3 linked regions of the Anolis sagrei genome follow. The protein of the gene in region 2 interacts with the protein of the main gene of each other region in a biochemical or structural test. Links are inferred from orthologs where the notes say so. Each region holds a gene or a part of one and is shown on either strand. Other genes may lie near its edges.

Region 1 (7,963 bases), on a different chromosome or scaffold from region 2:
ACATGATCAAAGCACCCCCAGTAGATGGTCATTCAGACTCTGTTTAAAAGCCTCCTCTGGACTCCGAGACAGAGATTTCTACTAGTGAACAGCTCTCCTTGGAGTCAGGAAGTTCCTCATTTTCAGGTAGAATCTCTTTTCCTGTCATTTTAAACTTTCTAATAATCTGGCTCAGGAATTAATTATCTCCATAAATCTTCATGGTCTTATATTTTGATCTATCTGTTTTAACTATGTCGTACTCTCTCCTAAGTCTTGAAGACTTCCAAATAAATTGTATTATTATCATTATTATTATTGTGGGTCCTTTACTAACTGAACTACTGATGCTGAAGGAGCCGATTTGTGACCAGCATTTCTCAACCTGGCATTCGGGACCCTGGGGGGGGGGGGGAGTTGCAAGGGGGTATCAGAGGGGTCGCCAAAGACCATCAGAAAACACAGTATTTTCTGTTGGTCATGGGGGTTCTGTGTGGGAAGTTTGGCCCAATTCTATCGGTGGGGTTCAGAATGCTCTTTGATTGTAGGTGAACTATACTTCCCAGCAACTACAACTCCCAAATGTCAAGGTCTATTTACCCCAAACTCCACCAGTATTTACATTTGTACATATTGAGTATTCGTGCCAAGTTTAGTCCAGATCCATCATTGTTTGAGTCTGCAGTGTTCTCTGGATATATGTCAACTATAACTCCAAAACTCAAGGTCAATGCCCACCAAACCCTTCCAGTGTTTTCTCTTGGACATGGGAGTTCTGTGTGCCAAGATTGTTCAATTACATCATTGGTGGAGTTCAGAATGCTCTTCGATTGTAGGTGAACTATAAATCCCAGCATCTACAACTCCCAAATGACAAAATCAATCCCCCCCCAAACCCCACCAGTATTCAAATTTGGGCATATTGGGTATTTGTGCCAAATTTGGTCCAGTGAATGAAAATACATCCTACATATCAGATATTTACATTACGATTCCTAACAGTAGCAAATTTACAGTTATGAAGTAGCAACGAAAATAATGTCATGGTTGGGGGTCACCACACCATGAGGAACTGGATTTAGGTGTCACAGCATTTGGAAGGTTGAGAAGCACTGCTCTAGACCAAGTGATGATTATTATTATTAGTAGTAGTAGTGTGTGAATATGGTTACTTTACTAACTGAACTACTGATGCTGAAAGAAGTGATTCTTTAGCCCAAATGATAGTAATAAAAATAATTAGTATATTAATATTGTTCATTTACTACCTGAACTACTGATGCTGAAGGCGGAGATTCTCTACCCCAAGTGATAACTATTATGATTATTATGTGAATATGGTTCCTTTACTAACTGAACTACTGATGCTGAAGGAGGCGATTCTCTACCCCAAGTGATAACTTATATTATTATTAATATTAATAAGGTTCCTTTACCAACTGAACTACTGATAATGGAGGTGATTGTCTAGTGATACCCACCATCACTGTCCCATTTCCAATATGCCTCTGTTTGTACACAATTGCAAACAGAGATAAATATTCTGAAATATTCCTAAGCACTTCTGATCCCCAGCACTTCAGAGAAGAGAGACTCTATTATCATTAATATTCCAGCTGTCAAACCATGTAAGATCCCTTATATTACTCCTACTCTCTACTTCAAGACCACAGAAGAGAGAGGCCTAGCTTTGCTCTTTGTTGGCTATTATTACATGTATGTGTTGTTATTACTGTTATTATTTTTGCTTCCCTTCCTCCTAAGAAATTGGCGTCATAATTGCTTCTCCTATTATGATATCTTGGTATCGCATATATCACACTATGCCATATATTATGTTACAGTACAGGCGCCAACAGCAACCACAGGAAAGCAAGTATAGCATTACAAGTTGTCATTTTACTATTATCATCATTCTTGTCAGTATTACTGCTATCCTGTCTTCTCTACCTCCTCCTTAAGAAATAGGCTCCCCCTTGCACTCCTCTCCTTGCACTTATGTAATGTATATTAGATTACATATTATAGTACTACTGCCAACCACAAGACCACTGGAAAGCTGCACTGGCATATCTAAAAATAATAATAATTATTATTATTATTATTAATTATTATTATAGTTCTCTCTTCTATTCCTCCTAGGAAATGGATACTCGCTTGCACTCCTATTCTTATACTATTTATATTTGTATTACTATCGACAACAACAAAATGACAGGAAATCGGCACTGGCATATCTAGAGATGATGATGATAATAATAACAATTCACTCTTCTATTCACCTATTCTTATATGCTTTATAGCATTATAATATCAGATATATTATATATATTACACTATTGTGCTACTGCCAACCACAAGGCATTACCAAGTATAATAATAATAATAATAATAATAATAATAATAATAATGTATCTCTTCGTTCCCTCCTTCCCTTCCTTTGGATTAAACTTCTTATTTTTTTGTCGTGTCAGGAGCGACTTGAGAAACTGCAAGTCGCTTCTGGTGTGAGAATTGGCCGTCTGCAAGGACGTTGCCCAGGGGACGCCCGGATGATTTGATGTTTTTATCATCCTTGTGGGAGGCTTCTCTCATGTCCCCGTATGAGGAGCTGGAGCTGATAGAGGGAGCTCATCCGTCTCTCCCCGGATTCAAACCTGCGACCTGTCGGTCTTCAGTCCTGCCGGCACAGGGGTTTAACCCACTGCACCACCGGGGGCTAAAACTTCTTATGAATAATAACAATAATATTTCCTCTGCTCTCCCTCCTATTCTTAATAGGCATTACAAATCTAATAATAATAATAATAGTGATGTATTTCCTCTCATATCCCTCCTCCCCTTCCCCATAATAGGCATTACAGTAAGCAATAAGCATAATAATAATAAGCATAATAATCTCATCTTCTTAGCAGGCATGATAGATCTAATCATAATAATCATAATAACAACAATGTATTCCCTCTCTTCTTCTTAACTGGCAAAACAGATATATTATTTCTACTACTACTAATAGTGATGTATTCCCTCTCCCTCCTGTCCTGCCATTGGATTAATCTTAATAATAATAATAATAATAATAATAATAATAATAATAATAATAGCGATGTGCATTTCCTTCCCTCGTCCTAAGTCATTACAGATCCAATAGTAACAATAACAATAGTAAGCATAATAATAGCAATGTATTCCCTCTCCTCGTCTTCTCAAAAGGCATTACAGATCTAATAATAACAATAATAGCAGCAGCAGCAATGTATTCCTCGTCTTCTCAACAGGCATTACAGGTCCAATAATAATAATAATAATAATAATAATAATAATAGCAATGTAGTCCCTCTGCTCCTCTTCTCAATAGGCATTACAGATCTAATAATAATAATAATAATCATAATAGCAATGCATTCCCTCTCCTTCTCTTACAGACCCAATAGGAAGCATAATAATATTAATACTAATAGCGATGTAGTCCCTCTCCTCATCTTCTCAATGGGCATTACAGATCTGCTACTAATAATAATAAACATAATCATAACAGCAATGCATTCCCTCTCCTTCTCTTACTGACCCAATTGGAAGCATAATAATATTAATACTAATAGTAATGTAGTCCCTCTCCTCTTCTCAATGGGCATTACGGATCTGTTACTACTACTAATAAATATAATCATAATAGCAATGCATTCCGTCTCCTTCTCTTACAGACCCAATATTAAGCATAATAATACGGATACAAATAGCAATGTAGTCCCTCTCCTCCTCTTCTCAATGGGCATTACAGATCTGCTACTAATAATAATAAATATAATCATAATAGCAATGCCTTCCCTCTCCTTCTCTTACAGACCCAATAAGAAGCATAATAATATTAATACTAATAGCAATGTAGTCCCTCTCCTCCTCTTCTCAATGGGCATTACAGATCTGCTACTAATAATAATAAACATAATCTCATAATAGCAATGCGTTCCCTCTCCTTCTCTTACAGACCCAATAGTATGCATAATAATATTAATACTAATAGCAATGTAGTCCCTCTCCTCTTCTCAATGGGCATTACAGATCTGCTACTAATAATAATAAACATAATCATAATAGCAATGCGTTCCCTCTCCTTCTCTTACAGACCCAATAGTATGCATAATAATACGAATACTAATAGCAACGTAGTTCCTCTCCTCCTCTTCTCAATGGGCATTACAGATCTGCTACTAATAATAATAAACATAATCATAATAGCAATGCGTTCCCTCTCCTTCTCTTACAGACCCAATAGTATGCATAATAATACGAATACTAATAGCAACGTATAGCAACGTAGTTCCTCTCCTCCTCTTCTCAATGGGCATTACAGATCTGCTACTACTAATAATAAATATAATCATAATAGTAATGCCTTCCCTCTCCTTCTCTTACAGACCCGATAGGAAGCATAATAATATTAATACTAATAGCAACGTAGTTCCTCTCCTCTTCTCAATGGGCATTACAGATCTGCTACTAATAATAATAAACATAATCTCATAATAGCAATGCATTCCCCCTCCTTCTCTTACAGACCCAATAGAATGCATAATAATACGAATACTAATAGCAACGTAGTTCCTCTCCTCCTCTTCTCAATGGGCATTACAGATCTGCTACTACTAATAAACATAATCATAAGAGCAATGCATTCCCTCTCCTTCTCTTACAGACCCGATAGGAAGCATAATAATATTAATACTAATAGCAATGTAGTCCCTCTCCTCTTCTCAATGGGCATTACAGATCTGCTACTAATAATAATAAACATAATCATAATAGCAATGCATTCCCCCTCCTTCTCTTACAGACCCAATAGAATGCATAATAATACGAATACTAATAGCAACGTAGTTCCTCTCCTCCTCTTCTCAATGGGCATTACAGATCTGCTACTAATAATAATAAACATAATCATAATAACAATACCTTCCCTCTCCTTCTCTTACAGACTCCATAGGAAGCATAATAATATTAATACTAATAGCAATGTAGTCCCTCTCATCTTCTCAATGGGCATTACAGATGTGCTACTACTAATAAACATAATCATAATAGCAATGCATTCCCTCTCCTTCTCCTACAGACCCAATAGTAAGCATAATAATACGAATACTAATAGCAATGTAGTCCCTTCTCCTCATCTTCTCAATGGGCATTACAGATGTGCTACTACTAATAAACATAATCATAATAGCAATGCATTCCCTCTCCTTCTTCTACAGACCCAATAGTAAGCATAATAAACGTAATCATAATGGCAATGCATTCCCTCTCCTTCTCTTACAGGCCAAATAGTAAGCATAATAATACGAATACTAATAGCAATGGAGTCCCTCTCCTCCTCTTCTCAATAGGAATTACAGATCTAATAATAGTAAGCATAATAATAGCAATGTATTCTCCTCTTCTCAATAGGCATTTCAGATCTACTGTGAGTACTACTATTAGCGATGGATTCCCTCTTCCTTCCCAGTCATTCCAGATCCAACCCTAGCCCTAACCCTCTCCCGCATGCCTTCGCTGGGACTCACTCTGGTCGGGGTTCTGGGCTCGCGCCTCGGGCATGCAGGTCGCTAGAAGCACTCCCAGGAGGAGGCCTAGTCCGAGCCCGAGGCCTAGACCCAGGCGACCCGCCATGCCTCCTCCGCCGTCGCCCTTCTCCCTCCTTCGGGGTCTCTCTCGATAAACAAGCGGCACCGCCTCCTCCGTCCTGGGCGGGGAAAGCCAGGCCTTCCCTCCCTCCGCGCTCCACGCCCCCTCTTCCAGTGGAGGGCAGGGGAAAAATGGCGCCCGGAGCACGGACGGGGTTCCTTTGCCGCCTCACAGCCTCGGCGCCTACAACTCCCAGAAGGCCTCCCCGCCTGCACCAAGAGGAAAGAACTCTGGGAAATTGAGTCCCAAACAACACAGACCTGAGCCTCTGAGTCCCAGAAGCCCTCGCCGGTTGTTTCAAGGGGAAGGCATTCTGGGAAATGTAGTCCGCGAAATATTCCTAGCAGGGGCGCCCCTCAGCGAGGCCTATCGCTCCTCAGTCAGGGATAGAGCCTTCCTTGAATGGTTCTCCACCTTTTTCCTCTTTAATGTTATTAATAATAATATATTGTCATGGTAGAATAACATTATAGTAACATTAGAATATAGATATTATGGAAAACACAGGAATGACCATCAGACTGGAAAAAATCCATTTATATCCCCATACCAAAAAAGGGAAATGCTAAAGACTAATCACCTCTCAAGAAAAGATTGCCCCAGGCACTGCCAGGCCATCAAATGCTAATCAAGGTGGTCAGTTGAAACATTTTTTATTTATTTATTTAGGTCATTTATACCCCGCCTTTCTCACCCCCTAGGGGGGACTCAAGGCGGCTTACATCCGGCACAATTTGATGCCCACAATTACAATTAAATGCAATAGCAAAACACAATAGACTAAAAACAGACAATTAATACAATACAATATAACACAAAACATTCACACCTAGCTCCAACAGACAAGAGCTCTGTGTCCCACCCTGGTCATTCCACAGATATATAAACCCACTTTCCTAGTTCCAACAGACCTCACTACCTCTGAGGATGCTTGCTACAGATGCAGGCAAAACGTCAGGAGAGAATGCCTATAGAACAGGGGTCCTCAAACTAAGGCCCGGGGGCCGGACACGGCCCTCCAAGGTCATTTACCCGGCCCTCGCTCAGGATCAACTTAAGTCTGAAATGACTTGAAAGCACACAACAACAACAATCCTATCTCATTCTGGGAAATGTAGTCCGCAAAATATTCCTAGCAGGGGCGCCCCTCAGCGAGGCCCATCGCTCCTCAGTCAGGGATAGAGCCTTCCTTGAATGATTATCCACCTTTTCCCTCTTCATGTTGTTATTAATAGTAATATATTATCATAGTAGAATAACATTATAATAACATTAGAATATAAATATTATGGAAAACACAAGAATGGCCATCAGACTGGAAAAAATCCATTTATATCCCCATACCAAAAAAGGGAAATGCTAAAGAGTAATCACCTCTCAACAAAAGATTGCCCCAGGCACTGCCGGGCCATCAAATTCTAATCAAGGTGGTCAGTTGAAACATTCACACCTAGCTCCAACAGACAAGAGTTCTGTGTCCCACCCTGGTCATTCCACAGATATATAAACCCACTTTCCTAGTTCCAACAGACCTCACTACCTCTGAGGATGCTTGCTATGTTGTTGTTGTTCATTCGTTCAGTCGTCTCTGACTCTTCGTGACCTCATGGACCAGCCCACGCCAGAGCTCCCTGTCGGCCGTCACCACCCCCAGCTCCTTCAGAGTCAAGCCAGTCCCTTCAAGGATGCCATCCATCCATCTTGCCCTTGGTCGGCCCCTCTTCCTTTTGCCTTCCACTTTCCCCAGCATAATTGTCTTCTCTAGGCTTTCCTGTCTCCTCATGATGTGGCCAAAGTACTTCAACTTTGTCTCTAGTATCCTTCCTTCCAGTGAGCAGTCGGGCTTTATTTCCTGGAGGATGGACTGGTTGGATCTTCTCGCAGTCCAAGGCACTCTCAGCACTTTCCTCCAACACCACAGCTCAAAAGCATCGATCTTCCTTCGCTCAGCCTTCCCTAAGGTCCAGCTCTCACATCCGTAGGTGACTACAGGGAATACCATGGCTTTGACTAGGCGGATCTTTGTTGCCAGTCTGATGTCTCTACTCTTTACTATTTTATCGAGACTGGACATTGCTCTCCTCCCAAGAAGTAAGCGTCTTCTGATTTCCTGGCTGCAGTCTGCATCTGCAGTCATCTTTGCACCTAGAAATACAAAGTCTGTCACGGCCTCTACGTTTTCTCCCTCTATTTCCCAGTTGTCAATCATTCTTGTTGCCATAATCTTGGTTTTTTTTATGTTTAGCTGCAACCCGGCTTTTGCGCTTTCTTCTTTCACCTTGATTAGAAGGCTCCTCAGCTCCTC
Region 2 (7,963 bases):
TTCTTATTTAAATCTCATAATTTGGGTTGATGCTGTTTTATTTTGATCTTTGATACATTTACCTGTGTATGTTACTCATTGCTATTTTATCAATGGGAATAAACAAGATGCTGGAACCTTTTAAAGCTTACTCTGTATCAAGCATGGACAAACTTCAGCCCTCCAGGTGTTTTGGACTCCAGCTCCCATAATTCCTAACAGTCTTTCCTTTTTCCTTTCAGTTGCTTAATTCCAGGGAGAGGAAAGTTCAGGCAGGCAGCCTTTTTGGCTTAATAGCTTTGTTTCCTTGCACTGAATATGAAACTAACTTTGTGAGCCTTCTGGGATTTACAAAACTAAGTATGGGTTAAGTTTTGATTCCAAAATATTTGGCGTGGGCCACACAAACACTTTGGATATGGCTTACGACTTACAAAATTTCCGATTTTCTTATAAATTCCAACACTTCTGAATTTTTTGCACATGCCTAATACTCATGTAGATTCCCAGATACTTTGCTTTGTTGACAGTTTCAATACCTGTCCTTTCCTTCTTACTTCTGGTCTTACTTCTGGAGATTCTTAAACATTTTTTCTGTTTGTTAATTGTAAGTCCAGATGCTTTTCCAAAGTCCTCAATAATTTCCAGTATTTTAGGTATTATCTCTATGGGATCTTTTTGTTGCTGAGATCTTAATATCATTCTGTATTGCATTCAGAGAAGTGAGTTTACAACTCTGAGAGCTCATGCAAAAATAAAAACCAGCTAGTCTTTACAGGAACTGCCACATTTCTTTTTTTTTCTCCCCCTTCCTTCCTGCTTTTTATGGTCTAGAAATTAGTCTTCTTTTGCATTAGAATTAACCACTAGGTGCCTCTCTTGGATAGGTTTAAATAGCTTTAAACAGTTTCTAGCCAATGTAATGAAATGGTATTGGAACAGGACCAGGGTTTGAATCCTCGCTCAACTACAGAACCCCACTGAATGACATTGCGAGCGTCTCACTCCCTCAGCCTGAGACAAACTTTATCTGAATCAGTCTTTCTATGAAAACCCCATGATACATTCAACTTAGAGCAATGTTTCTCAACCTTTCTTGTGCCGCAACCCCTTAATACAATTCTTCATTTTGTGGTGACTCCCGAACATAAAATTATGGTTCTTAACTGTAATTTGCTACTGTTATAAATCCTAATGTAAAATCTGATATGCAGGGTGTATTTTCATTCACTGGACCAAATTTGGCACAAATACCCAACACGCCCAAATCTGAATATTAGTAGGAATGGGGGAGGGGGAGATTGATTTTGTCATTTGGGAGTTGTAGTTGCCGGGATTTATAGTTAAGCTACAATCAAAGAGCATTCTGAACTCCACCAATGATGGAATTGAACCAAACTTGGCACACAAAACTCACATGACCAACAGAAAATTGGAAGGGTTTAGTGAGCATTGACCTTGAGTTTTGGAGTTGTAGTTCACCTACATCCAGAGAGCGCTGTGGACTCAAACAATGATAGATCTGGACCAAAGTTGGCATGAATACTCAACATGCCCAAATGTAAACACTGGTGGAGTTTGTGGAAAATAGACCTTGACATTTGGGAGTTGTAGTTGCTGGGATTTATAGTTCACCTCAATCAAAGCACATTCTGGACCCTACCAATGATAGAATTTGGCCAAACTTCCTACACAGAACCCCCCTGATGAACAGAAAATACTGTGTTTTCTAATGGTCTTTTGGCGACCCCACTGACACCCCCTTCGTGACCCCCCCCCCCTGGGTTGCAACCCCTAGGTTGAGAAAAGCTCCCTTAGAGCCTCCCTGAAACAGAAAGAGCTTGAAGCCATACACAGTTTCAATTGGCAAAGTTATACCTTAACCAAAGCATAACTTTACTGGTTTTCCTTGCGCAATTACATTTTATATTATTATTATATTGCAAGATGTGGATAACCACTCACTTATATGAATCCACATGTATATTCTGAAGCTGTATATTCAGGGTGGATATTCACCCTATCATCTGCTATAATTCAGTCTTATCCCATGGAACACCCACTTGATATATCATCCCCCAAATCATCTCCCATCCCACACACCATACACCCACTCAGTTCATTCTACCTATTCCCGAAAATCCTCAAATGCCAGTTATAATTATGAGCTGTCAATCATTCTGTGATATCCTTTGCTGGGAAACTGGACACTCTAGAGCTTCCTTCTTGCAACCCTAGCTCTCAGCTGTTGCATGCATTCGAGAAATCAACTAAGCATTGCTCAGCCACAGAGACAAGTAGGAGTGATAAGAGTGCCACATAAAAATGTCAAACATTTTGTCTTTAGAGGGCTGCCTAGAAACTGGATAGAAGTCTGCATCAAGTAGCCTTCTTAAAAGAAACCTATTTTGAGCATACTGTGATTCTTTCCCTACCCCAGCCTCCTTCAGAAAGAGAAAGAGACAAATTAGGTGACATCCTACCCTTCCCAGAATCAGGGTGCATTATTGAGCTATATATAGGAGGACCTGGGTGGGACTGAGAGTAATTCACTTGACGTCTCCACTTGTCCCAGGATGGTTGCTGTCTCTTTGGTGTCTGCCTGATTACTGGATACATGCTCTGTGAACACTGCTGGTTTCCTTAAACATTAGCATTCTCTAGTAAGGATATTATTGTGTTTTATTCCTTCCTTTCTTCCTTCTTCCTTCCTTCTTCTAAAGTCATGTTTTATACCTTTAATCATGTTACAGATATAGATACAAGTAGGGAAATAGTCATGCTGATATTATAAAGTTATGCAACTGTCACTGTTCTAGTCGTGGTTTTGTGTGCCTTCAAGTCATTTGAGACTTATGGCAACCCTCAAATGAGTCTAATATGGGCTTTATATATTTATTTATTTTTGCATGATTTGTTCAGATGGAGGTTGCAGTTGCTTTCATCTGATGCTGAGAATGAATGCATTGTGAGTTTCCATAGCCTTGTGGATTCGAACACTGGTCTGCCAGAATCTTAATCCAACATGCAAATAACTTTATCGGCAGTCCCCAAGTTGTGAACAAGATAGGCTCTGTAGGTTTGGTCTTAAGTTGAATTTGTTTGTAAGATGGACAGGTATATTTTTAAAGTGTTAACTTTAGCAAAAAATGTATATTTTAAAGCTTTGGATAGCTTGGGGGGGGGGGCAGTGCTGAGCTGCTGAACTTGCTGACCAGAAGGTTGGTGGTTTGAATCCAGGGAGTGGCATAAGCTCCAGCTGTTAGCCCTAGCTTCTGCCAACCTAGCAGCTGAAAAACATGCAGATGTGAATAGATCAATAGGTACTGCTCCAGTGAGAAGGTAACAGCGCTCCATGCAGTCATGCCAATCATATGACCTTGGAGGTGTCTATGGACAATGCCAGCTCTTCGGCTTAGAAATGGAGATGAGCACTAACCCCCAGTGTCAGACACGACTGGACTTAATGTCAGGGGGAAACTTATACCTTAGGGGAGGGTTAACACCCCTGTGGTGTTTGTTTTGTTGTCTGTTGGGAAGATTTCACATAATTTTCTGTCACTGTAATAATTGGATTCTGAAAAAAATTTGGCAAGATTGGTGAGAAAAAATTGACAAGGATTGGTGAGAAAGCTTTAGTGGAGACACCTTTCCCCCATAATAACTCTTCCAGGAGTGAATTTTCCTTCTGAGGGGTTGATTTCTCTCAGTTCCTGTGATCTAACCCCAGTTTGTAACTTTAAATCATTTGTAAGCCGGATATTTGTAACTTGGGGACTGACTTTACCATATATAAAAGACAAAATTAAAAAGAGAACCCAGGTTGTTGTTATTATTGTTTCTGACTTATGTTGACCTGAAAGCAAATAGGGTGTGTGTGTGTGGAAATGTTTATTAAGATGAGGCTTGCAATTTCCTAATTTAAATCTTCATTCAACCATGAAATTCACTTGGCACCTCACCAGACCGGGTACTTTTCGGCTGCATGTGCCAGTTTGACTTTATGTTTACTTCCAGTGGCGCTCTATCATAAAAGTAAAAACAAACTGGCACATTCTGCCTTGGTGGCAACTTGGGACACTTCCCGTGTTATTTGGGTCAATGGGGGGAAGCCAGTGGCCAACGCTTCCCCTGTGGGATGGAGCAACAGGTGAGTGGACAATGTGGGAAATGGGGTGACGAGTTCCCCACGTCCCTCGATGTGCACCTCTGGATTCATCACAATGCGTGGTGATTCCAATGCCCATCTGATGAGGTCATGGGTGACCTTGAACAAGTCACACCCTTTCCGCTCCAGAGGAAAGCAATTGCAAGGTTTTTGGGAAGAGGAAAATTATGTGTATTACCAAAAGAAAATGTCATCCTAAATCTGAAAAGGCTTAAGATTGGCATTGTTATTATTGCTTTGTACTTAAAGTTGTTTCTGACTTATGGCAACCCTATCGGAAGATACAGGGGCCTTATTTCCAAAAACACACAATGCCATGCAGTGCAGAGTGGTGTAAAACTTACCATTTAGCTTTCATTGTAGAGTCACATAAAGGCACATTATAGCAAAATGCAACAGTATACCATACAGAGAGAAAAGACAGAAAGAAGCAGGCAGGCATGGCTCAGAGATGGGCTCAAGTTACCACTCTGGTTTTCCCTTCTGAACTATTTATAGGGCGTTTGTCACCATGCCTAGCAGAGAGCCCAGCAGCTGCCTTGCAAGTTTAGCATTTCTCTCCAACTTGCAATAGATCAGGCTGTCATAGCCCTGAGCAAGCAGCGGATGAACAAAATTGCACAGAGGAGGAGACAGGGATGGCAATGAAATCAGGAATATCCAATCTCCCGAAGTCCAGAAATCTGGACAAACTGGTGTTGAAGGCCAACTCAGAAGAGTTGCATCTACATTGTAAAAGCTGTTTGGCATCACTTTGCCTCTCACTTTGGGGAAGAAGGAGGAAAACAGCAGGCAGCATAACTTTTAAAAAGTAGGATTTAACAGGGTCTTAGAGAGAAAGTGAATGAATCCCAGGGCAGAGGTATATCTGGTTACAATCCTGAGATGCAGTTGGAAGAGACTGTAAGCGTGAAGGTCAATCAAATAGGAACTATGGTGCAAAGGCTGGAGGTGGCAGCAGCGATCCTTTTTTGGACAGTTCCTGTTTAGTTTTTCAGTTTCTCTCCCAATCCAACTTTTATTGGAATCATTGTAGAACTCTCACTCAGACTCATTTGTCTCGAATTTCTAAGCCTTTAAGACACCAAAAGAAGTTTTGGGTTAGATATTTGACAAGGAGCTGTGTTGTATAGGGTTACACTCAGAGCTTGAAAAGGTTACTTTTAAAAATTAGTTACTTTTTGAACTACATTCCCTGCATAGCTAATGTGCATGTTTCAGATGGGGGATGATGGAACTTCTAATCCCAAAATTAACTTTTTAAAACTTTAGTTACATTTGAGCTCTTATCAGCCTACCAAATTTTGCTGTCAACTGATACCCACAAAGGATATTTTCTTTGGCCACCTCCAGATTGTAGAATAACCTGCCAGAAGGGCTTTATCATCTGAAAAAGCCACCTGTGTTTAAAACAGCAGTAAAGATCAGCCTCTATCCAGATTATTTTAAAATACAGATTTTAAAGTATTGCTTGGTTGAGTTTGTTATGTATTGGTTCTAAATTTTATTATTTATTTATTTAGTTAGTTAGTTAGTTACCCTATTTATACCCCACCTTTCTCTACCTCCAAGATAATTCAAGTCAACTTACATATGGCAATTATTCAATGCCTTAGATACATACAAACATTAAGCTTAAAATTAATTGAATTAAAATTAATACATATTAAACACCTAAAAACATTACATTAAATATTAACGCCATTTTAACCTTGGTTTTGTTGTTGTTATTAACTACCATCAACTCATCTTTGACTTATGATAACCCTATGAATATGAAACCTCCAAGTCACCCTATCTTCAACAGCGCTGCTCAGATCTTGCAAACTCGGGATCATGGCTTCCTTGATTGAGGCCAATCACCAGGAATGTGCTCTTTCGCTTTTTCTTTCTTTCTTTCTTTCTTTCTTTATTTATTTATTTATTTCTACCCTGCCCTTCTCAACCCCAGAAGGGGGAATCAGGGCAGCTTACAACAATTCAATGCCACAACATACAAACAATATAACAAATATAACAACAATTTAAAACAATAGATAAAACATTAGGTTAAAACAAATTAAAACATTATTATCAAGCCATATAACCATTTCCAGTCTGATTCAACATCCAAGTGCTGTCATGTCTGCTGTCCAAAAGCCTGGTCCTAAAACCAAGATTTAAGTTTCTTCCTAAAAGAAAAGAGGGATGAAGCCAATCTAATCTTGCTGAGGAGCGAGTTCCACAGGCAGCGGACCACCACCAAGAAGGCCCTGTCCCTCATCCCTGCCAAACATGCTTGTGAAGCTGGCGGAACTGAGAGCAGGGCCTCCCCAGACAATCTTAAATTGCAAGGTTGGACATAGAGGGAGATATGTTCGGACAGATAAGCTGGGCTGGAACCATATAGGGTTTTATAGTCCAAGACCAGTACTTTGAATTGTGCTTGCAAGTGGACTGGTAGCCACTTTTCTACAACCTACTACCTTATCAAGCATCATTATCTTTTCTAATAAGACATGCCTTTCTATGATATGGCCACAGTACCATATCACAGTTCCTATGATATGGCCATAGTTTAGATACCTTGACTTCTAGGGACAATATCATAATTTTAGTATTCAATAATTTTATCCTGACACCTATGGATTTGTCTAGATCAATGGTTCTCAATCTGTGGGTCTCCAGATGTTTTGGCCTTCAACTCCCAAAACACCTGGTAAACAAGCTAGGATTTCTGGGAGTTGTAGGCCAAAACACCTGGGGACCCACAAATGGAGAGCCACTGTTCTAGATCCTTCTTAACTACCCTTCTAAGTTCTAATACTACATCTAATGTCTTGACTGCAGTCTCCATTCTGATTCATAAATAGAAAATCTTGAATGGCATCAATGTTATCATCTGCTTTAAAGCTGTGTAAATGTCTTAGGAGAAGTGGGTAATGAATGTATGAAGATGATGGATTGCTGTTATTATTCATGGCTTGTCCCATTTGAGGCAATTATGAGGTCTCAGGGTTAGGATCTATGTGTCTATAGTAGAAAAAGTGGGATATGGTTTTATGAGTATCATAAGCAAAGTCTCTGGTTCTCAGGCTCCAGTCCTCGGCAACCATGACCAGCTCCAAGCAGCGCCTCATCCAGGGCATGCACCAGGACCTTAGTTGCCCCGTCTGCCTGAAGCTGTTCCAGTCCCCTGTGACAACAGAATGCGGACACACCTTCTGCATGGATTGCCTTGGTCGGGCATCCAAGGACGAGGATGGCAAGGCCACTTCATGCCCCGTCTGCCAAGCCGGCACCAAGGTGGAGCAGCTGTGCATCAACAAGCAAATGGAGAACCTGGTGCAAAGCTTCAAGCAGGTCCCCCAAGACCACTGTGAGGAGCATCTTGACCCGCTGAGTGTTTACTGTGAGCAGGACCAGCAGGTCATCTGTGGCGTGTGTGCTTCCCTGGGCAAACACAGGGGTCACAACATCATCACTGCTGCTGAGGCCCACCAGAGGATGAAGGTAAGCATTGGGGTACAAAACCCCATGGACCTGGTATCAGATCTCCCCATTTCTCCTCCTAGCTTCATGTCACTCTACATGGCATAGCTGGCCCCACATTGGCTTTTTTCCTACTTCACAGTGGTCAAAATTATTATTGGATGGCACTGCTTCAGTTCTACAGAAGGGGTTTCCCATAACATCATGCTCCTTATAGAATCTGCATAGCAAAGCAATGAACAAGGGGAAAAGGAGGCTTGCATCTCTCTTGCAGACATCCAATTGACTGCATTTAGGGAAATTTCCAAAAGGGGAAAGCAGATCAGGAACTGGATGTAATTCCAA
Region 3 (7,963 bases), on a different chromosome or scaffold from region 2:
CTTTCTAGCTATTTATGGCACCTCTGTTGCATCTCAGTGAGATATAAGTATTATAATAATAACAATAGTCTAGAACCATGCTTCCCCTATTTACATATTATTATTCCTTTCTCCCCATTTATTGCATCTCAGTGGGATATAATAATAATAATAATAATAATAATAATAATAATAAAGCATTCTCTATTGACATGCTCTGATTTCATTGAGATTTTCCCTATTTTTAAAAAAATCTTCTAAATGCAATAGATGAAGTTATAGAAATTCTAACAAATCCTAACAAAAGTCTTCATTAAGAGGCAACCTTTCCTGACTCATAATTACCTGATCTGACACAATGCCACAAGAATGTGAATGTACGTTATTGTTGCTTTAAATTGTTATTTTATGATGTTTTATACTTATTATCGATATATTTGGATTTTTGTTTACATGATTTTAATATGTTATAAGCCACTTTGGGTCCCGTGAGAGAGAAAAGCAGGATACAAATAAAGATATTATTATTATTATTATTATTATTATTATTATTATTACCTTCTTAAAGGGCCAGCACCCACATTTCCTGAACTCCTCAAATCATTCCAATGGGGAAGGGTGTCTTTATTAATTTATTTGTTTCATATATTTATATCCCACCCTTCTCCCCACAAAGGGGACTTTATCTTGGAATATGATGATGGCGATTACTGATCAAGCCTCCTCTATTGACATGCTCCAGTTGCATTGGAATATAGATAGAGAAACTGGGGAGCAATTCTAGCAAAAGTCTTAATTAAGAGGCAACCTTTCCTGACTCCAATCCTTACCTTCTTAAAGGGCTAGTCCCACCCTTTCCTGACTCAGAATTACCTTCTTAAAGGGCCAGCACCCTCTTTTTCCTCAAGTAATTCCAATGGGGAAGGGTCTTTATCTAATGGGGGGGGGGTCTGTCTTTTTAAAAAAAATCTCTCTAATTCCTTTTTAAAAAGGAATACTTGGTGAGAAGAATCCTGTGACCAAGTCTTCCCTTGTGAATATATGCTATGCCCTGTCTCCTTGGACTTCTTAAAGGGCCAGTGTCCCCATTTCCTCGTCAAGTCATTCCAACGGGGAAGGGGCTTTCTCTTTTTGGAGGGAGGTGGTCTTTTTTTTTAGCCTATTCCCTTTTTTAAACGGGATCAATGAAGATCTGGTGAGAAGAATCCTGTAACTAAGTCTTTCCTTGTGAGGCTATCCCATTCCCTGGCCCTTTGGCCATCTTAAAGGGCCAGTGTCACCTATTTCCTGACTCAGAATTACCTTCCTATAGGGCCAGTGTACCCCATTTCCTGATCTTTCCTGATACAGAATTACCTTCTTAAAGGGCCAGCACCCCAATTTCCTAACTTGGAATTACCCTCTTAAAGGCCCAGCACCTCCATTTCCTGACATCTTAAAGGGCCAGCACCCTCTTTTTTTACTCCTCAAGTCATTCCAATGGGGAAGGGGGCCTTTCTCTTTTGGGGGGGCGGGGCGGGGGGGGGGGATCTGTCCTTTTACAGATCTCTCTGTATTCCTTTTTGAAAGGGAAGCCTTGGTGAGCAGGACCCTGTAACCAAGCCTCAGCTTGTGAGGATACCCCATTCCTTGGCCCCTTGGCCTTCTTAAAGGGCCAGCAACCTTTTTTTGTTTACTCCTCAAGTCATTCAAATGGGGAAGGGGGTCTTTCTCTTTTATGGGGGGGGGGGGGGTCCATCCTCTTACAAATCTCTTAAAAGGAAGACTTGGTGAGAAGGACCCTGTAAACAAGCCTCAGCTTGTGAGGATACCCCATTTTTTGGCTCCTTGGCCTTCTTAAAGGGCCAGCAACCTCTTTTTTTACTCAAGTCATTCCAATGGGGAAGGGGTCTTTCTCTTTTTTTGAGGGGGGATCTGTATTCCTTTCTGAAAGGGAAGCCTTGGTGAGAAGGACCCTGTAATCAAGACTCAGCTTGTGAGGGATCCCTCAATTCCCTGTTTCCTTGGCCTTCTTAAAGGGCCAGTGTCCCCCATTTCCTGGCCTTTCCTGACTCAGAATTACCTTCTTAAAGGGCCAGCACTCTCTGTTTTACTCCTCAAGTCATTTCAATGAGGAATTTTCTAAATTTACTTTCTGAAAGGCTCAGCAGCCCCATTTCCTGACTTCTTAAAGGGCCAGTATCTTCTTCTTTTTTTTTTACTCCAATGGGGAAGGGATCTTCTTAAAGGGCCAGTATCCTCTTTTCTTACTCCAATGGAGAAAGGGTCTTCTTAAAGGGCCAGTATCCTCCTTTTTTACTCCAATGGAGAAGGGGTCTTTCTTTTGAGGAGGGGGATCTGTCCTTTTACAAATCTCTCTGTATTCCTCTCTCAAAGGGAAGACTTGGAGAGAAGGACCCTGTACACAAGCCTTCCCTTTCCTTGGCTCCTTGGCCTTCTTAAAGGGCCAGTATCCTCTTTTTTAACACCAATGGGGAAGGGGTCTTTCTCTCTTTTGGAGTGGGGGATCTGTCCTTTTACAAATCTCTCTGTATTCCTTTCCGAAAGGGAAGACTTTGTGAGAAGGATCCTGTAATCAAACCTCAGCTTGTGACCCTTGGCCTTCTTAAAGGGCCAGTATCCTCTTTTTTTACTCCAATGGGGAAAAGGTCTTCTTAAAGGGCCACTATCCTCTTTTTTTACACCAATGGGGAAGGGGGTCTTTCTTTTGAGGAGGGGGATCTGTCCTTTTACAAATCCCTCTGTATTCCTTTCTCAAAGGGAAGACTTGGAGAGAAGGACCCTGTAAGCAAGCCTTCCCTTTTCTTGGCCTTCTTAAAGGGGCAGTATCCTCTTTTTTTACTGCAATGGGGAAGGGATCTTTCTTATTTTTAGAGGGGGGAGGTTTGTCCTTTTAAAAATATTTCTATCTTCCTTCTCAAAGGGAAGACTTGGTGAGAAAGACCCTGTAACCAAGCCTTCCCTTTTCTTGGCCTTCTTAAAGGGCCAGTATCCTTTTTTTACTCCAATGGGAAAGGGGTCTTTCTATTTTTGGGGGGAGGGGGGGTCTATCCTTTTAAAAATATCTCTCAATTTCTTTGACTTGAGGAGAAAGACCCTGTAAGCAACCCCAGTTTGTGAGGGATCCCCCAATTCCCTGCCTCCTTGGCCTTCTTAAAGAGCCAGTATCCTCTTTTACACCAGTGGGGAAGGGGTCTTTCTATTGGGGGGAGGGAGGGGGGTCTATCCTTTTTAAAATATCTCTTAATTTCTTTGACTTAAGGAGCAAGACCCTGTAAGCAATCCCCAGCTTGTGAGGATACCCCATTCCTTGGCCCTTTGGCCTTCTTAAAGGGCCAGCAACCTTTTTTTGTTTACTCCTCAAGTCATTCCAATGGGGAAGGGGTCTTTCTATTTGGGGGGGGGGGGGGGAATCTGTATTCCTTTCTGAAAGGGAAGCCTTGGTGAGAAGGACCCTGTAAGCAACCCCCAGCTTGTGAGGGATCCCCCCAATTCCCTGGCCTTCTTAAAGGGCCAGTATCCTCTTTTTTTATTCCAATGGGGAAGGGGTCTTTCTATTTTTGGGGGGAGGGGGGTCTATCCTTTTTAAAATATCCCTAATTCCTTTGACTTGAGGAGAAAGACCCTGTAACCAAGTCTTCCCTTTCCTTGGCCTTCTTAAAGGGCCATATCCTCTTTTTTACACCAATGGGGAAGGGGTCTTTCTCTCTTTTGGGGGGGGGGGGTGTTTGTCTAATTCCTTTCTCAAAGGGAAGACTTGGTGAGAAGGACCGTGTAAACAAGCCTTCCCTTTCCTTGGCTCCTTGGCCTTCTTAAAGGGCCAGTATCCTCTTTTTTTACTCCAATTGGGAAAGGGTCTTTCTCTTTTTCTTTTTTGGAGGGGGGGTCTGTCCTTTTACAAATCTCTCTGTATTCCTTTCTCAAAGGGAAGCCTTGGTGAGAAGGACCCTGTAACCAACCCTTGCTTTCCTTGACCTTTTTAAAGGGCCAGTATCCTCTTTTTTTACTCCAATGGGGAAGGGGTCTCTCTCTCTTTTTGGAGGGGGGGTGGTCTATCCTTTTTTAAATATCTCTTAATTTTCTTTGACTTGAGGAGCAAGACCTGTAAGCAATCCCCAGCTTGTGAGGATACCCCATTCCTTGGCCCTTTGGCCTTCTTAAAGGGCCAGCAACCTTTTTTTGTTTACTCCTCAAGTTATTCCAATGGGGAAGGGGTCTTTCTTTTTGTGGGGGGATCTGTATTCCTTTCTGAAAGGGAAGCCTTGGTGAGAAGGACCCTGTAAGCAACCCCCAGCTTGAGAGGGATCCCCCCCAATTCCCTGCCTCTTTGGCCTTCTTAAAGGGCCAGTATCCTCTTTTTTTACTCCAATTGGGAAGGGGTGTCTCTATTTTTTGGGGAGGGGGGCTCTATCCTTTCTAAAATATCTCTCAATTTCTTTGACTTGAGGAGGAAGACCCTGTAAGCAACCCCCAGCTTGTGAGGGATCCCCCCAATTCCCTGCCTCCTTGGCCTTCTTAAAGGGCCAGTATCCTCTTTTTTTACTCCAATGGGGAAGGGGTCTTTCTATTTTTTAGGGGGAGGGGGGTCTATCCTTTTAAAAATATCTCTCAATTTCTTTGACTTGAGGAGAAAGACCCTGTAAGCAACCCCCAGCTTGTGAGGGATCCCCCAATTCCCTGCCTCCTTGGCCTTCTTAAAGGGCCAGCATCCTCTTTTTTTACTCCAATGGGGAAGGGGTGTCTCTCTCTTTTTGGAAGGGGGGGGTGGTCTATCCTTTCTAAAATATCTCTCAATTTCTTTGACTTGAGGAGGAAGACCCTGTAAGCAACCCCCAGCTTGTGAGGATACCCCATTCCTTGGCCCTTTGGCCTTCTTAAAGGGCCAGCAACCTTTTTTTGTTTACTCCTCAAGTCATTCCAATGTGGAAGGGGTCTTTCTATTTTTTGGGGGGAGGGGGGGTCTATCCTTTCTAAAATATCTCTCAATTTCTTTGACTTGAGGAGGAAGACCCTGTAAGCAACCCCCAGCTTGTGAGGATACCCCATTCCTTGGCCCTTTGGCCTTCTTAAAGGGCCAGCAACCTTTTTTTGTTTACTCCTCAAGTCATTCCAATGGGGAAGGGGTCTTTCTATTTTTGGGGGGGAGGGGGGTCTATCCTTTCTAAAATATCTCTCAATTTCTTTCACTTGAGGAGGAAGACCCTGTAAGCAACCCCCAGCTTGAGAGGGATCCCCCAATTCAATTCCCTGCCTGCTTGGCCTTCTTAAAGGGCCAGCGTCCCTCTTTCCCTGCCTTTTGGGGTGCCCCCCGTTTCCCACAACCACAACACCCCCTTCCTTCCCCCGTTCCCCTCGTTTTCCCGCAGGCGAAGGATACAGCTTGACCACGTCGGTGTCCATCCGCCTCTTGCCAGGGCTGGGGGAGGACATGGCGCCCCCCCGGCCGGCGGCCTCTCTTGTCCTGTCAGGACCCCTTTAACGCTGGAGCCCCGCTTCCTGCGCCTGCGCGGTGGGATCCTCTCTCTCTCTCTCCTTGGCTCCGCCTCCTTTGCTCCTTCCTCCGAGGCCCCGCCCTTCCCGAGCCGGCTCTTCCTGGCACCCCCTCCCCTCTCTTAATTTCTTTGGTTCTCCTCTTGTTGTGTGTCTGTTTCCTGCGCCCTTCCGCACCGCTTTCCTGCTCCTGCTCCTGCTCTCTGCTGGCTGCTTCTGCTTCGCCCGCCGCCGAGGCTCTTCTGCTGCCTCTCTCTCTCTCTCTCCTCTGACGTCACCCACAGTGACCTCACCGCCCAGGCCGGGCTTCTTATTGGACGGCGGCGGCGACGTCACTGCGGCCAAGCCCGCCCTCTCCCTGTCCCCGCGCCCCGAGGCACGACGGGAGTTGGAGTCCTTTCCCTCAAAGCACCTCCCTGTGTTTTGGACTCCGACTCCCAGCATCCCTCAAAGGCAAGGCCTCTCTGGAGCTGAGGCCGTCTACACTGGGGAGAATTAACCCACTTTGGGCACCCCTGCTCATGGGACCCCTTGGGAGTTGTAGTTTGCTGAGGTGTTCGTGGAAGGATGGGAGTTGTAGTTTGCTAAAGTGTTCGTGGAATTATGGGAGTACTCATGGAAGGATGGGAGTTATAGTTTGCTGAGTCGATCGTGGAAGGAGGGGAGTTGTAGTTTGCTGAGGTACTCATGGAAGGATGTGAGTTGTAGCTTGCTGAGGTACTCATGGAAGGATGGGAGTTATAGTTTGCTGAAGAACTCATGTATGGATGGGAGTTGTAGTTTACAGAAGTGTTCAGGGAATTATGGGAGTACTCATGGAAGGATGGGAGTTATAGTTTGCTGAGTCGTTCGTGGAATGATGTGAGTTGTAGTTTGCTGAGGTATTCATGGAAGGATGGGAGTTGTAGTTTGCTGAAGTACTCATGGAAGGATGGGAGTTGTAGTTTGCTGAAGTACTCATGGAAGGTTGGGAGTTATAGTTTGCTGAGGTACTCATGGAAGGATGTGAGTTGTAGTTTGCTGAGGTATTCATGGAAGGATGGGAGTTGTAGTTTGCTGAAGTACTCATGGAAAGATGGGAGTTGTAGTTTACTGAAGTACTCATGGAGGGATGGGAGTTGTAGCTTGCTCAGGTGTGCATGGAAGGATGGGAATTGTAGTTTGATGAATTCATTGAAGGGTGAGAGTTGTGGTTTGCCGAGGTATTCGTGGAAGGATGGGATTTGTTTACTGAAGTGTTTATGGAAGGGTAGGAGTTGTAGTTTGATGAGGTATTTGTGGAATTATAGGAGTTGTAGTTTGCTAAAGTACACATGGAAGGATGGGAGTTGTAGTTTGTACTCATGGAAGGATGGGAGTTGTAGCTTGCTCAGGTGTGCATGGAAGGATGGGAGCTGTAGTTTGCTGAAGTGTTCAATGAAGGGTGGGAGTTGTAGTTTGCTGCAGCACTCATGGAGGGATGGGAGTTGTAGTTTGCTGAGGTATTCGTGGAAGGATGGGAGTTGTAGTTTGCTGAAGAGTTCATGGAAGGATAGGAGTTGTAGTTTGATGAGGTATTTGTGGAAGGGTGGGAGTTGTAGTTTGCTGAAGTACTCATGGAGGGATGGGAGTTGTAGTTTGATGATGAATTGATGGAAGGATGGGAGTTGTAGTTTGCTGAAGAATTCATGGGTGGGAGTTGTAGTTTGCTGAGGTATTTGTGGAAGGATGGGAGTTGTAGTTTGCTGAAGTACTCATGGAAGGGAGTTGTAGTTGCTGAAGCATTCATAGAAGGATGGGAGTTGTAGCTTGCTGAACTGTTCATGGAAGGATAGGTGTAATTTGGTGAGGTATTTGTGGAAGGATGAGAGTTGTAGTTTGTTGAGGTGTTCATGGAAAGATGAGAGCTGTAGTTTGCTTAAGTGTTCATGGCAGATTGGGAGTTGTAGTTTGCTGAAGTGTTTGTGGCAGGGTGGGAGTTGTAGTTTGGTGTGGGATCAGCACCCATTTCTGCAGGGAAGGCTAAAAGGGCGTGGAGGAACTACAACTCCCACCACTCCAAGAGCACGGAGCCATTATTTGACAGAAAAGGCTGAAAGTTCCCTTGGCGAACTACAGCTTCCAGAGTTTTGTGTGGCAAGAGAACAGGCTTGTCAAAGTGGCCCATGGCTACGGCATCCTGGGAGTTGTAATTCTACACTGTTTGCTACAGAAGGCCTTGTCGAACTACGACTCGCAGGGCCCCTATAGCCTTGAGCCATTGGCAGTTCAAGTGGTGCCAAGAAGAATATTTAGACTAGAGTCTTCTTTTAGGGGAAGAAAGCACATAATAATAATTGCAATAATAGTAACAACAACAATAATAATAATAAGAGTCTCATTTGAAGCGGGAAGCAGGAAATAATAATATTTAGAGTCTTTTAGGGGAAGAAAGCAGGAAATAATAATAATAATAATAATAATAATAATAATAATAATAAGAGTCCCCTTTTAAGGAAGGAAAGCAGGATATAAT

Evidence for each region. The genes of interacting proteins can lie anywhere in the genome.
Region 1: the proteins of TRIM72 (region 2) and INSR form a complex in vitro, tested with the Homo sapiens proteins (2 studies listed by BioGRID). The link is inferred for Anolis sagrei from reciprocal best matches to the Homo sapiens genes TRIM72 and INSR.
Region 3: the proteins of TRIM72 (region 2) and UBE2H form a complex in vitro, tested with the Homo sapiens proteins (2 studies listed by BioGRID). The link is inferred for Anolis sagrei from reciprocal best matches to the Homo sapiens genes TRIM72 and UBE2H.

What each region holds. Positions count from the first base shown.
Region 1 is NC_090034.1:58,587,624-58,595,586, reverse strand, and holds the start of INSR (insulin receptor), read right to left. Parts: upstream 5,773-7,963; 5' UTR 5,644-5,772; coding exon 5,538-5,643; intron 1-5,537. UniProt on the Homo sapiens protein: Receptor tyrosine kinase which mediates the pleiotropic actions of insulin.
Region 2 is NC_090026.1:15,580,017-15,587,979, forward strand, and holds the start of TRIM72 (tripartite motif-containing protein 72), read left to right. Parts: upstream 1-2,504; 5' UTR 2,505-2,642; intron 2,643-7,221; 5' UTR 7,222-7,240; coding exon 7,241-7,639; intron 7,640-7,963. UniProt on the Homo sapiens protein: Muscle-specific E3 ubiquitin-protein ligase that plays a central role in cell membrane repair by nucleating the assembly of the repair machinery at injury sites.
Region 3 is NC_090025.1:195,013,412-195,021,374, forward strand, and holds the start of UBE2H (ubiquitin-conjugating enzyme E2 H), read right to left. Parts: upstream 5,761-7,963; 5' UTR 5,410-5,760; coding exon 5,357-5,409; intron 1-5,356. UniProt on the Homo sapiens protein: Accepts ubiquitin from the E1 complex and catalyzes its covalent attachment to other proteins. E2 ubiquitin conjugating enzyme that transfers ubiquitin to MAEA, a core component of the CTLH E3 ubiquitin-protein ligase complex.